3 linked regions of the Lonchura striata genome follow. The protein of the gene in region 2 purifies or fractionates together with the protein of the main gene of each other region. This does not show direct contact. Links are inferred from orthologs where the notes say so. Each region holds a gene or a part of one and is shown on either strand. Other genes may lie near its edges.

Region 1 (3,745 bases), on a different chromosome or scaffold from region 2:
AGCAGTGATCACAGTAAATAGATTTTGTCTATCCAGTGAATACTTGGAGCATTTCAGTACTGAACCATCCATCAGTTTCCACAAATTGACTAAAGCACAATACTTTGTTGTGGAAGAGCATTTTCATGAGCAATTGACGCAAAGTTTATCATGTCTTTCTAGAATTACCTGACACACACAGTCCACATATGACAAGGCTGAAGCAGCTCTGCAGATAAGATCTTTATGCTACTTTTATTTCAAGTGTAATGTACATACAGCCATTGCATGTGCTCTTCACAAAAAGATTCAGAAGATTAAACATGTTCATTAAATACCATCCTAATTTTTAAAACTCTGTTTATTTTAAAGAGACAGAAGTGTAGCATTCCTCTCTGTTTAGTAACATTGCCTGGCCTAAACCATCACACACCATTCCTTTCTTTTACTGGTTCAGAGACAAAAAATTCCATTGAAGTAATGAACTAAACTTTTGCAAAGTACCGCGTGCATACATAAGGGGAAGTAAAGTTAATTTGTCAGCCTAAGTCTAAAGATAAAAAGTATTTCTTTCCCTAAACTAGAAAGTTATTTGTTGTAAAAGCTTTTCTAACAGTTAATGCAAATGTAAATCACATACTTTCTAATAAACATTTATGTTTCCAAACAGACAGTGTTGTATTAGTAAATTATTCAGCTTGAACAAAGGACCTACACTGGTTAGATATAAGCTGCAGTAGGAGGAAAAATCTAAACCTTGACAAAAAAATTAAAAACATGAAGTGATATATGTTTTTGAGATATTTATGAACCTGGAACACCAGCAAGAATGCATAATTGCCATCAAGAGACAGAACCAGGCTGCCATTAACAACTGGATGATGATGGAAAAAGGGCAGATTTAAGTTTGGGACTAGAAAGTGACTTAAAACAAGTGTAATCAACACATGGAAAAAAAAAAAAAAGACACGGTGTCATTATGCTCCTGTAGATATTAAATCTAGCACAGAACTTACCAACTTCTTAACACTGTGGCCTGAAAAGAATGCAACTTCCTTTCCTAACCACTGAGTTCTGCAATTGAGAAAAGCTAGGAATGAACCAAATGTAGAGTTCAACTTCTTTACACCCCTTTTCAAAATAGCAACGACAGAAAGCTTAAGATATGGAGATACTTCAAACTAAAGAAATTAATCTTCTTACCTTCAGCAAACTGTGTCTCAAAACGAAACTGTGAAAGATCAGATGCCCTGCCTACCTTAAAATTCCTATCTATGTCTAGGTTTTCTCAGGTTTTCAGAGGCTATCTCCTCAGCAGAATGTAGAAGCATACAGCTGGGAAACAGGCGGTAAGTGCTCTCAAAAGCGTTGCACAAACTGAAGCATAGAGCAAGCATCCATAACTGGAATGCTGGAGTATGGCCTTCTGTTCACACCCATATATTTCAGCAACTGCGTACATTTCTGCTACGTTTTGTTTTCCTCTGCTTTCAATTGCATCTGGTAAAGAAAGCGCAGGAGAGCAGGCGCCTAGCAACTGGCCCACAGGATGTTCACAAGCTGTACATTTCTTTTAATGGAAAGCCCGACAAACCCTACAACCTTCTCCTTCAAAGGCTTTCTAGACTCCTTCCAGGAAGATGTGGAGAGGACTCATACATGCAGACAACAGTTTCCACACAAGAGTTACAATTTCTGGATCTCTGTCTGAACACTGTCTCATCAAATAAACGACATTCAACCTACTCTCTTCATTTTTTAGTACATCCTCCTCACATGTAAAAAACTGCTGTATAAATTTTAACACCCAAATAGTACAATTTAACACTAGCAGACACAATTGTTTTTTCCCCGACAAGCTACGGAGGTGTTGTTTGCTTCAGTTAAAAGAAAGTTAAGATACTCTATTAAAACATTTCAAGTTTTGATACAGTTTTTGCTCAGCGGGAAATTATGCACGGGGCGGAAATGCTAAAAATCAAAGCAAAACAGAACCCAAGCAAACAGTCCCATTCCCAAACGAGACCCTTCTTTAACCACTCCTGGAGTAAGGTCTGGAGTAAGAGCAAGAGCACTCTCGTGCCTCATGAAGCAGCAACTAGTCCGATAAACAGGAAGAGCCAACACTACTCCTGGCTTTTAAAACACATTCAAAATACTTTACATGGAAAATAAGCAACTCTTCAATAACGTTTTCCCGTGAAAAGAAGAGCTACATTTTCCACCTAAGTGTTTTGTAAATGAGCGGGCAGGAGGCAGCCGCGGGGTCTGTTAGGAGCCTCTCAACCTATAGAGAAGAGAAGGAAAACGGGGGAGCGGGGTGGGGGACGTTTGAAACCCTCGGGGCTCGCAGCCCTGCGGCCGTGCGCTCCGCTCCCAACCTTGCACAACTTTCCGCCGCGGCAGTTCCGCTCGGCTCCCCGGGCGGGGACGGGACGGAGGGGTCCGAGCCCGCCGCCTTTGTTCGCGGGGGCGCCGCTCCCGGCACAAAGCGGGCGGCAGAACTTGCGGAGGAGACCTCGGCCCTCCCCGGGGACCGTGGCGGAGCACCCCCCTCCCGCCCCGTCTCCGCGGCGGGCGGGAGCGGCGGGTGGACCGCGGGGCAGCAGACCGTGCGCGGCCGGCAACGTGAGCCGCATGGGAAACGGCGGCCCCCGGCCCCCCGCCGGCAGCCCCGGGGCACCCAGCCCCTTCCCAAGGCGGCTCTTCCCGCTCGCACTCACTTTTCGGGACGGGCTCCGCCGGGCTCTCCCTCCGCTCGCGGCGCGCGCGCCTTCCCGCCGGCGGGGCGATGCGGACGGCGAGGCGGAGCCCCTCTCCCCCGGCGGGAGGGGGTCCGCTGCCCCCCCCGCCCCGGGGCTGCCGCCGGGCTCCGGGTGACTTCAAAGGGGCTGGCGGGTCCAGCCCCCTCCCGCCCGGGCGGGCTGCGGACTGGTGGCCCTCGAGGAAAGCCCCCGGCTGCGGCTGTCCCGGCGGCGGATCAGGTGCGCCGCCGCGTCCTCTCACATGGAGCCACCGCCTCGCCGCCCCTCGGCGCCCCCCGGGCCGGTCCCCGCACCGCCGCCGGCCGGGAGGCGAGTGGCTCGGGCCGCGGCCCCCGCCGCGCTCTCCCTCTCATGCACTGCGGGCCCCGGCTCCAGCGGCGGGGGGGCCGTCAGGGCCCCGGCTGGGCGGCGCGGCGGGGCAGCCGGGCGGCGGGGCTCGGCGCCGCGACCGCTCCGCTCTGCGGCATGTGGGGGGAGCGGCGGCGCGGGGCGCTGGGCGGCGAGGCAGGGCCGGGCCGGGGACGCCGGGCGCGGTGGGGGCAGCGGCGGCAGTAGCGCCCCGGGATCCGCTCGCTTCCTGCGGCGCCGGGAGGGGGCGGGGAGGGCGGGCGGGAGAGGGAGCGAGCGCGGCGGTGGCGCGGGCGGATGACAGCGGTAACCCGGCAACGGGGCCCGCCCCGCCCCGGTGCTGGCGCGCAGCGATGATGCCGAGGGCGGGCGAGGCGGAGCCGCGCAGGTCCCGCCGCGGCCGCGCGGTTCAGCCCGGGACAAGGGGGTGGCCCCGTGGCCGCCCCGCCTTTTCCCGCCATGGGAACGGCCGGTGCCGGGGCGATGCCGGGGCGCGCCGCTCCGTGCCCGGCCGCCGCTCGGTTTGTGCGGGAGCCGGCGGTGGGAAGTGCTGGTCACGCTTGGTGCTTCTAGAAACTGAGGCTCACCTGTCCCTAGTAGCACTTTGTCAGTCGGGCTCTGGGCGCTGCGAACCCAGTAACGGGGATGATGGT
Region 2 (3,745 bases):
GCCGCTTCCGCCAGCGCCCGGATCCCAAACACGGCGACGTGAACGGGCTGGGAATGAAGCGGCTGGCGCGGCTGCCCAGCAGCGCTGCGGGCGGGCCCGGCCCCGGCCCCGGCGCAAACCGTCCCCGCCCCGAGCGCTACTCACGTCAGCCTCGAGGAAGGGCAGGCGGAGCGGGCGCGGGTCGAGCAGCGGGGCTGCCATGCCCCCCATGCCCCGGGGCAGCTGTCGTCTGTCACACGCTGCAGCGACACGGCGACCCGACATCTTCTTTTTACCTATCCTGAACCACTTGTAAACACCGACACACACAACCAGGCTCTCCTTCGCTCTTGTTTTCAGCACCGCGGAGACAGTGAACTTTTCAGTGCCTTGCCTCGCAGTTCTTCACCAGCTCCGAGCGCCGAGCGGAGTTTCCCTGGCGGGGACCCGCGGGGCAGCAGCGCCTGACGCCGCGCTCGCTGCGCTGCTCGCGGGCCGCGCTCGCTGAGCGGCCGCGCTGCCGCTGTCCCGGCGCCTGCGAGGGGTGCGCGGTCGCTCGGGCCGGGCCGGGCGGGGCCTTGGCGCTCGGCGCTCGCCCTGAAGCGCTGCCGGCACGTGGCGCTGCCCGGGGCCGCACCGGGGAGGCTCCGGCCCTGCTCGGCCCGTCCGGGGGGGGCACGCACACAATGGCCCCGCTGGCGCTCGGCCCCACGCGCGCTGGCAGCGGCGCCGCTGCCCGGCCTCGCCCGGGGGTGGGCGGGGGTGTGTTGGGGGGGAGTCCGGCGGGAGCGGGACTGACCTGGCGGCGCTCCCGGGGCGCGGAGCGGAGCGGAGGCGGCGGCGGCCACAGGTGGGAGCGCGGCGCGTTACGCGATTTGCGTAGCGGAAGCGGCGGCTCGGCCCGGCGGGAAGTGCGCGGGCGGCGCGCGCCGGGGTGGGGGGGGCGGCGCGGCGCTACGCAAAGTGCGTAACGCGCCGCACGGCGACAACGCCGGTGGAGGGGCGCGGCGCGGCGAGGCGCGTGCGCCCCTCGCGGCCCGGCGGAGCGCGCCTGGTAACCAATAGGCGAGCGGGCCGCCCGCGGGAGGAGCCAATCAGCGTGCGCGGGCCGCGGGAGGGCGGCCAATGGCGGGCGGCGGGGGTTTAAAGGGGTATTTAAGGCGCGGCGGTTTGAATTCAAACAGCTCCGGCGGCCCTGAGGCGGCGGCTCCGCGCTGAGCGCCGGGCCTGAGGGCGGGCGGGGGGGATTGGTGATGGATCTCTGCCGATAAACAGTGGGGATCGATAAGGGACCCGCCATTTCCTGTGCTCCGCTCGCTGAGCCCCGCTGGCTCCCTCTCGCCCTCAGCCAGAGCCGCTCGGGCCGCTCCCGCTCTGGCGCTATGGACAGGAACATGAAGGAGAACCACGCTGCCTGCCCCGGCCGCGCCGCCAAGGTAGACCGCGTATTTCACACCCTTATGTTCCTCTTCCTGAGCAATTTCTTCTGCTGCATCCTTGGACTCGATGCCTGGGAGTTTGCCATTAAAGTTCTGCTAGGTTCTGGAGTGGTGGTTTTTAGTTTTTGCTTGGTGGGTTTGTTTCTCCCCATCGCATATTAACTAGAAATTTGTCTTTCAGTGCCTTTCTCCTAGAGAAAACAGAGCCCCGAGCAGTTTTTAAAAATTATTGTTAATATTAGCCTATCTTATTAAATGGGGAAATCTTCCTTCTATTGCAAGTATTTAAGAGCTCTTAAAGAGAAAGTGAGTGTGTATTATCAAATTATTTTAGATACAGTTTTTAAAAGCAAGTGCTGTGTACATGTGCAGCAGTGCTCAAGATCACCCTTATTATTGTGTTTCTTCTATTTAGAAATACAGGCACTTTGTCAGTATTTTATATAAAGCCAAATAGACCTGATAAGTTTTTGGAACAGCATAAGCAAAATTTTCTTTTAATCAACTAAATACGTGATTCTGTTAAAGTGCTTTTGTGTGGCCGTGCCATCCTGAATGGGGCCGTGAGGGCTGTGCTGTGCTGTTGCACAATTAACGCCTTCTCCTTTCTCTTTGAAGGTCTCCAATCCCATCGGGGATGCCCCCAGACGTGTCCCCGTGTCGCAGCACTCAGCCCCGAGCCGCTCACTGACCACTGGAGCTCCAGCCCGAGTTCTGTGTCCCGCAAACTTTGCCCAGCGAGTCCCCGCGCAACCCCAAAAACCTGTTCTGTCCACCCAAAAACAACCCAGCAACCAACCAGCTCAGCAGCTCCAACCCAAAGTGCCCCAGCAGGCTGCTGTGAGACCTCAGGCTGCAAGCAAGGGCAGTGAGAAACCTCCCCAGGCTGCAGCACCTGGTAATTCTGAGGATGATTTTGTGTGATTGCAGCTGTGACACTCGGGATGCTCCTAAAGCTGCTGCTGATCCAGGGACAGTCCTGCAGGGAAGTTCTTGGTTGTGCCCCCAAACAGAAGAGCAGTACGTGGTTCACCTCGGGTGTTACTGCACCATCCTTATGAATTTACCTCTAAATTAACAGAGATAAATTAGATAAATTAGGGACATTATGGTGTTAAAAACTTGTAGGTGCTCAGCAGACAGCTCGGAGTTAATGTCATTTGCATTCAGACTTCACAGGTTTTCCAAGTGTCCAGGGATACTTTTGTCTGGGGAGGGGGAAAGAATTCATGGAGTTTTATGCTCCATAAGCTTTTAAAATTGCATTTTGCCAGCACTGTTTCTTCCCTAGCAGTCAGCCATGCTAGTTTAATTAAAATGTCACTGAATGGGTTCTAAAAACTGCTTCAGATGATGCACAGGGGTTAGATTTGTTCATGTGTGTGTGTGCCCATGAGTCTGGTTCATTAACTGATTTCCTTCTCTGTACACAGCACAAAACCCTGAAGCAGAAAGCACCTCTAAACAGAAAACTGAAGAGACCAAGAAGAAAAGTGAAGAGACTAAAAAGTAAGTTTATGCCTGAATTCTGGATAACTGAGCCCTGCTGGAGCTCCTTTGGCTGTGGAGCCTGGTGACCCCCTTGCTTTGCAGACACCTCACAAGGAAAAGCAGCCTTTGACCTGATAATTGTCAGGAACAAGGACTTGTTGGAATCTAAAGAAAACTTCGGGCTAAATGCAGAGTGGCTCTTCCCATGGGAGAGCACTGATAGCTGCTGCCTCAGTCACTAGATGTACTCCTGAAAACAAAGCCTCCTTCATCTGGGCAGGAGGCTGGAGTCTATTTTGATATGAAACTGGATTTGTTTATGGCAACTTTAAATTGTTTTGCCATGCCCTGGTGATGTGTCTGGGTTAGGAGTATCTGAAGGAGCCCAGCTTGGTAAACAGACTTCATTTTGTAGTAGTGTGGTTGGTGTAGTGTCTGCAGAAGCTTCAGGAGGAAAGAAAATAGTTTTCACAACTTCCTTTTGAAAAATCTCAATGCTTTTATTCTCTAGGTATTTTCTTAAAGACTAAAATCTAGTTTAGAGCACTAAGCATCTCTTGAACAGCAATGTTATAAACTGTAAATTTGAGTCAAATCCAACACAACTATCCAGCTTTTAACTTTCCTCTTGCAGAAGGCAATGGTCCCTCGACGATTTTGAAATTGGTCGTCCTCTGGGGAAAGGAAAATTTGGGAATGTGTACCTGGCACGTGAAAAACAGAGCAAATTTATTCTCGCACTGAAAGTGCTCTTTAAAACACAGCTTGAGGAAGCTGGTGTAGAACATCAACTACGAAGAGAAGTGGAAATACAGTCTCATCTTAGGTAAAGTTCA
Region 3 (3,745 bases), about 3.6 Mb from region 2:
CTTATTAATCTATGGACTCTGAATAGAAGAAAGGACTGATTGCTAAAATCTTGGCCTCAGGTGGAATTTTCTCTATAAAAACCGCCTGTGCCAGGATGGAGGTGTGTGGGCATAGGAGAAAACCTCTGCTGAGGCTGACTCCTTGTGGCACACCCAGGGTCGACCCCGGGCTCAGCTCTGTCCTTTCTGTGTGGCTGGCTAGATAGAATTTGACAGCTAATAAAATTATTTTTATTTTTAATCTGGCTAAATAAATTCTCATTTATAACAAGCTCCTCTCATGACGAAGCACAAACCTCAATGATGTCTCCCCTCAGTCTCCTGTTCTTCAGGCTGAACAACGCAAGGACCCTCACCCACCCCTCTAATGGCTTTCCCTAGATCCTTCCTCAAACTTGTGGCCTCCTTTGGATGCTCCTTAGGGGATTTATCTCCTCCATATATTGATTGGGGTACCCCAAACCATCCCAGCGCTCCAGCTGTGACCACAGCAGCCTGGACGTGAAGCTGGGGGAGCTTCAGCCCCTCCATCTGCTATCCCCAGCTTGGGAGCAACACGGGCCGTCACCTGAAATCACCACTGCACTCTCACCCATAGGTGTGTGAGGAAAACCCACAGAATTCCACAACATTCCACATAATTCACCCTCACGGGCAGCCCCAGCCACAAACCCCGGGGGTCGTTTTTGCAGCCGCACGGGGAGAGCAGCGCGCCCGCAAGGCTCGCTGCAAAGCTTTACTTCAGCTGGAAACAAATCCCTTGGACTCCTCTCTGGAGCACGGGGAGCTGGATCCCATGGAACCCGGCCCGGCCCGCAGCGGGTTAAGCCGCGCGCCCACAATGCCTCGCGCCCTGCAACGTCGGCGGCGCCGGGCGGGACCGGGCCGGGCCGGCACCGGGACCGGGATCGGCACCGGGAGCAGGGCCGGCACCGGGAGCAGGACCGGCACCGGGACCCAGCAGGGGCGGCAGCGTTGCTCAGGTCTCCGTGGCTCCCCGCAGCCCAGCCCCGCGCTGAGGCGGCGCTGCTCGGCCCCCGCGCTGCCGCCCCGGCCGCAGGCTGCCAGGCTGGCGCGGCGGGCAGGAGGCAGCGCCCTGCCCGCTGTTTCAGCTCTTTCTGCGTTGTTTTCTTGCCCAGAAAGCAGAGGCCGGAGGGCTCGGCGGATCCCGGCCATGTTGTGAGGGAGGGAGGCTGCAGGACGCCGCTGGGATCCGGGTACCGCAGGTGTGCCTGAAGGAATCGCTCTTCCTCGGCCCCGCGAGGCGCTGGGTGAGTGTGGAGCTGCTCGGCTTTGATGTATTTGCGAAGGAGAACCGTGCCAGCTCCGTGGAGATGGGCGCTTTGTGAGCTTGCCAAGGTTTTTTCAGCCGCTGTGGCCTTTTTGCACTGGTGGGACTCAGGGGGAGCCTTGAGCACCATGAAGGCACCAGGCCACGTCACCCGCTGACTCTTGGTGTGTGAATCGCAAAGCCCTTTGCAGGCTGGCTCTGAATTTCGTGCTGTGTCAGAGGAGCAAAGTCCTGTTATGTATTATTTCCGCTTCTAGTCCACTTCTGCCTTTTTTGCCTTGTTTAGCAAACTAAAGATTTCATAACCAGAAAACTCATATGGTGAACATCTAGTTTTTGCTCTGGGAGCAGATTGTTTGGGAAATAAGAGTGTGAGATTGCTTTATGTGAAGCTAACTCCACTTTGGAACCCTTGTCAGAAATATATATATTCATAAATGGAAATTTACTCCAAAACGAAACCTTTTCTTTACTGCTTATGTCTATTTCTATTAGATCAAAACAATGTATATTTCTTTACGGTGGCTTCTTTCTTCATTATTTAGCTATGAAACTTAAACGGCACAGGTTTATATACTTAAACACTGATTTAAGTATATAAAGTTTATATACTTAAGTTTATATACTTAAGCACTGCTTATATATCCAGTCAGCTATCAGGCCTCAGCTTTTTGGTGGTGATCAATGATAATTTGAACCCTTAAAACTTTGTGAGAAAATCATTAAAAGTAAACTAGGCACCTCTAAAGGTGTTACCTATTAGAAAGCTTAGAACATGACATTTTTACTTTGTCATTTATTTCCAAATGCTTTGGTGGGGGAGGACAAGATGAAAAGCTGGTGCCTTTAGTTACCTCCTCCTTTTCTTGGTGTGGGTGAAGCTCTTCCTTCCCACTAGACAGATGTGGTTTGGGCAGGGAACTTGGTGCATGTGGAATGGGTGTATGTTCTGACTGCAGTTTGCCTAAGTCTTTCCGTTTTTGTTTAAAAAAAGGTAGTTATGGCAGAACCAAAAGCAATTGCTTCCTTTGTCACCTTGGAGCTGGAGATCTGAAACTCATGTGTAAGCTCTGGAGGGGGCTGGATATTGGCTGTTGGAGGATGGATGTAACTTTCTGCTTTGTAGACAGTTCCTGGCATGTGCAGAGTTGGAGTGGGAAGAGGCTTTCCTGTTCAGCTCCAGCAGTGCTGGTTTGCCATTGAGGCAGGCCTCTGCATGTAGACTGCCTCTGCTGGTTATTCTGATTGAAAATCTGTAAAAAAAGGAGGAAAAATAGTAAAGGAAGGGCAGGAATAAGAGGATTGGACATCCCACCAAAGAGGGGAGCTTTGGAAGCTGTCAGTAATGTACAGGAAGATGCTGGGGAAATTAATTCCTGAGGAAAAGATGTTGGCATGCAAAGAGCAATAATGGCAGAGAGGAGGGCCCAGAGGGTGCACTGTTGTCTGTCTGGCTATTCCTGCTGAGTTATTTACTTAATTTCTGTACTGCAGAGGAAGAATTCTACATTAGCTCACCAGGGACAGATAGTGGAATTGAAGACAGAGACTGAGAATCATATAAATGTGTTTATGGTTGTTATTTAGGACATGAGCAAATGCACATAGTGCTATTTCCCTCCCTGCTCACATGCACATGAGTTGTGGAAGGTTAAATGTTATTGAAATGCTATTGGAAAAGGTGTGTTTAATTATATGAGTAGTCACTTGACACACTTTCATTCTCCTGTCTTAAAATTACACAATTTTTATTAGATTATTGATAAAAATAACTGTGCTCAGTTTTATTTTAATACAGGATGGCAGGAAGATTTTATTCACCACTATTTGCATTGACTTTTATTGCAATTACCTGGTTTTGCCCAATACAAAGCAATTAAGGCTGAAAAGGTGGCACATTCTAAACATCAATGAAAGCACTTCACCTTAAATTCCACAAAATTAAGCATTTGTTAACAAGATATTTACAGAGGAATAAGTGCTTTAGATAAAAAGCAATGACTTGTGCTACAATCACCCTCTGCTTTTAGCAGTAGCAATATGTAGGTACAGCAGTGAGCTTTTCCTTTCTGAGTCATGTTATCTTAGCAGGTGATGCACAGAACTATTTATTGTACTGCTTTGCTTTAGAGATTGAAATTGTTGCCAGTCATACAAATGCAATATTTCCTTACCTGTAGCATTTTACCTTTTTAAACACCCTTCCTTGATTTATTTAAGATAAATACTTCCTCCATCCCCTAGGGCTGTTGTCTGTAACAGTCATTTACCTTCTAAAATTACTGTGAGATTGTTAATTTTATTGATGTTCTAAGGACTTTTGATTATTTGGTCAAACAGCACAGTGAACAGAGTTGCCTAAAGGCCTTTTTGCCTCTCATACCAACCTTTGTTTGGTGAAAATATCAACCTGCTGTTTTATGCTTTGTATCTTGACTGGCCAATAAGCTTGAT

Evidence for each region.
Region 1: the proteins of AURKA (region 2) and FBXW7 purify together in Homo sapiens (affinity purification with western blotting; 5 studies listed by BioGRID). This does not show direct contact. The link is inferred for Lonchura striata from reciprocal best matches to the Homo sapiens genes AURKA and FBXW7.
Region 3: the proteins of AURKA (region 2) and ARFGAP1 purify together in Homo sapiens (affinity purification with mass spectrometry; 3 studies listed by BioGRID and IntAct, counting the BioPlex papers as one, with this or other methods). This does not show direct contact. The link is inferred for Lonchura striata from reciprocal best matches to the Homo sapiens genes AURKA and ARFGAP1.

What each region holds. Positions count from the first base shown.
Region 1 is NC_134606.1:43,089,813-43,093,557, reverse strand, and holds the start of FBXW7 (F-box/WD repeat-containing protein 7), read right to left. Parts: upstream 2,845-3,745; 5' UTR 2,703-2,844; intron 1-2,702. UniProt on the Homo sapiens protein: Substrate recognition component of a SCF (SKP1-CUL1-F-box protein) E3 ubiquitin-protein ligase complex which mediates the ubiquitination and subsequent proteasomal degradation of target proteins.
Region 2 is NC_134619.1:2,538,544-2,542,288, reverse strand, and holds the start of AURKA (aurora kinase A), read left to right. Parts: upstream 1-1,361; coding exon 1,362-1,415; intron 1,416-2,036; coding exon 2,037-2,316; intron 2,317-2,851; coding exon 2,852-2,927; intron 2,928-3,543; coding exon 3,544-3,735; intron 3,736-3,745. Other genes in the region: CSTF1 (cleavage stimulation factor subunit 1), read right to left, coding at 145-264. UniProt on the Homo sapiens protein: Mitotic serine/threonine kinase that contributes to the regulation of cell cycle progression.
Region 3 is NC_134619.1:6,103,584-6,107,328, forward strand, and holds the start of ARFGAP1 (ADP-ribosylation factor GTPase-activating protein 1), read left to right. Parts: upstream 1-1,155; 5' UTR 1,156-1,271; intron 1,272-3,745. UniProt on the Homo sapiens protein: GTPase-activating protein (GAP) for the ADP ribosylation factor 1 (ARF1). Involved in membrane trafficking and /or vesicle transport.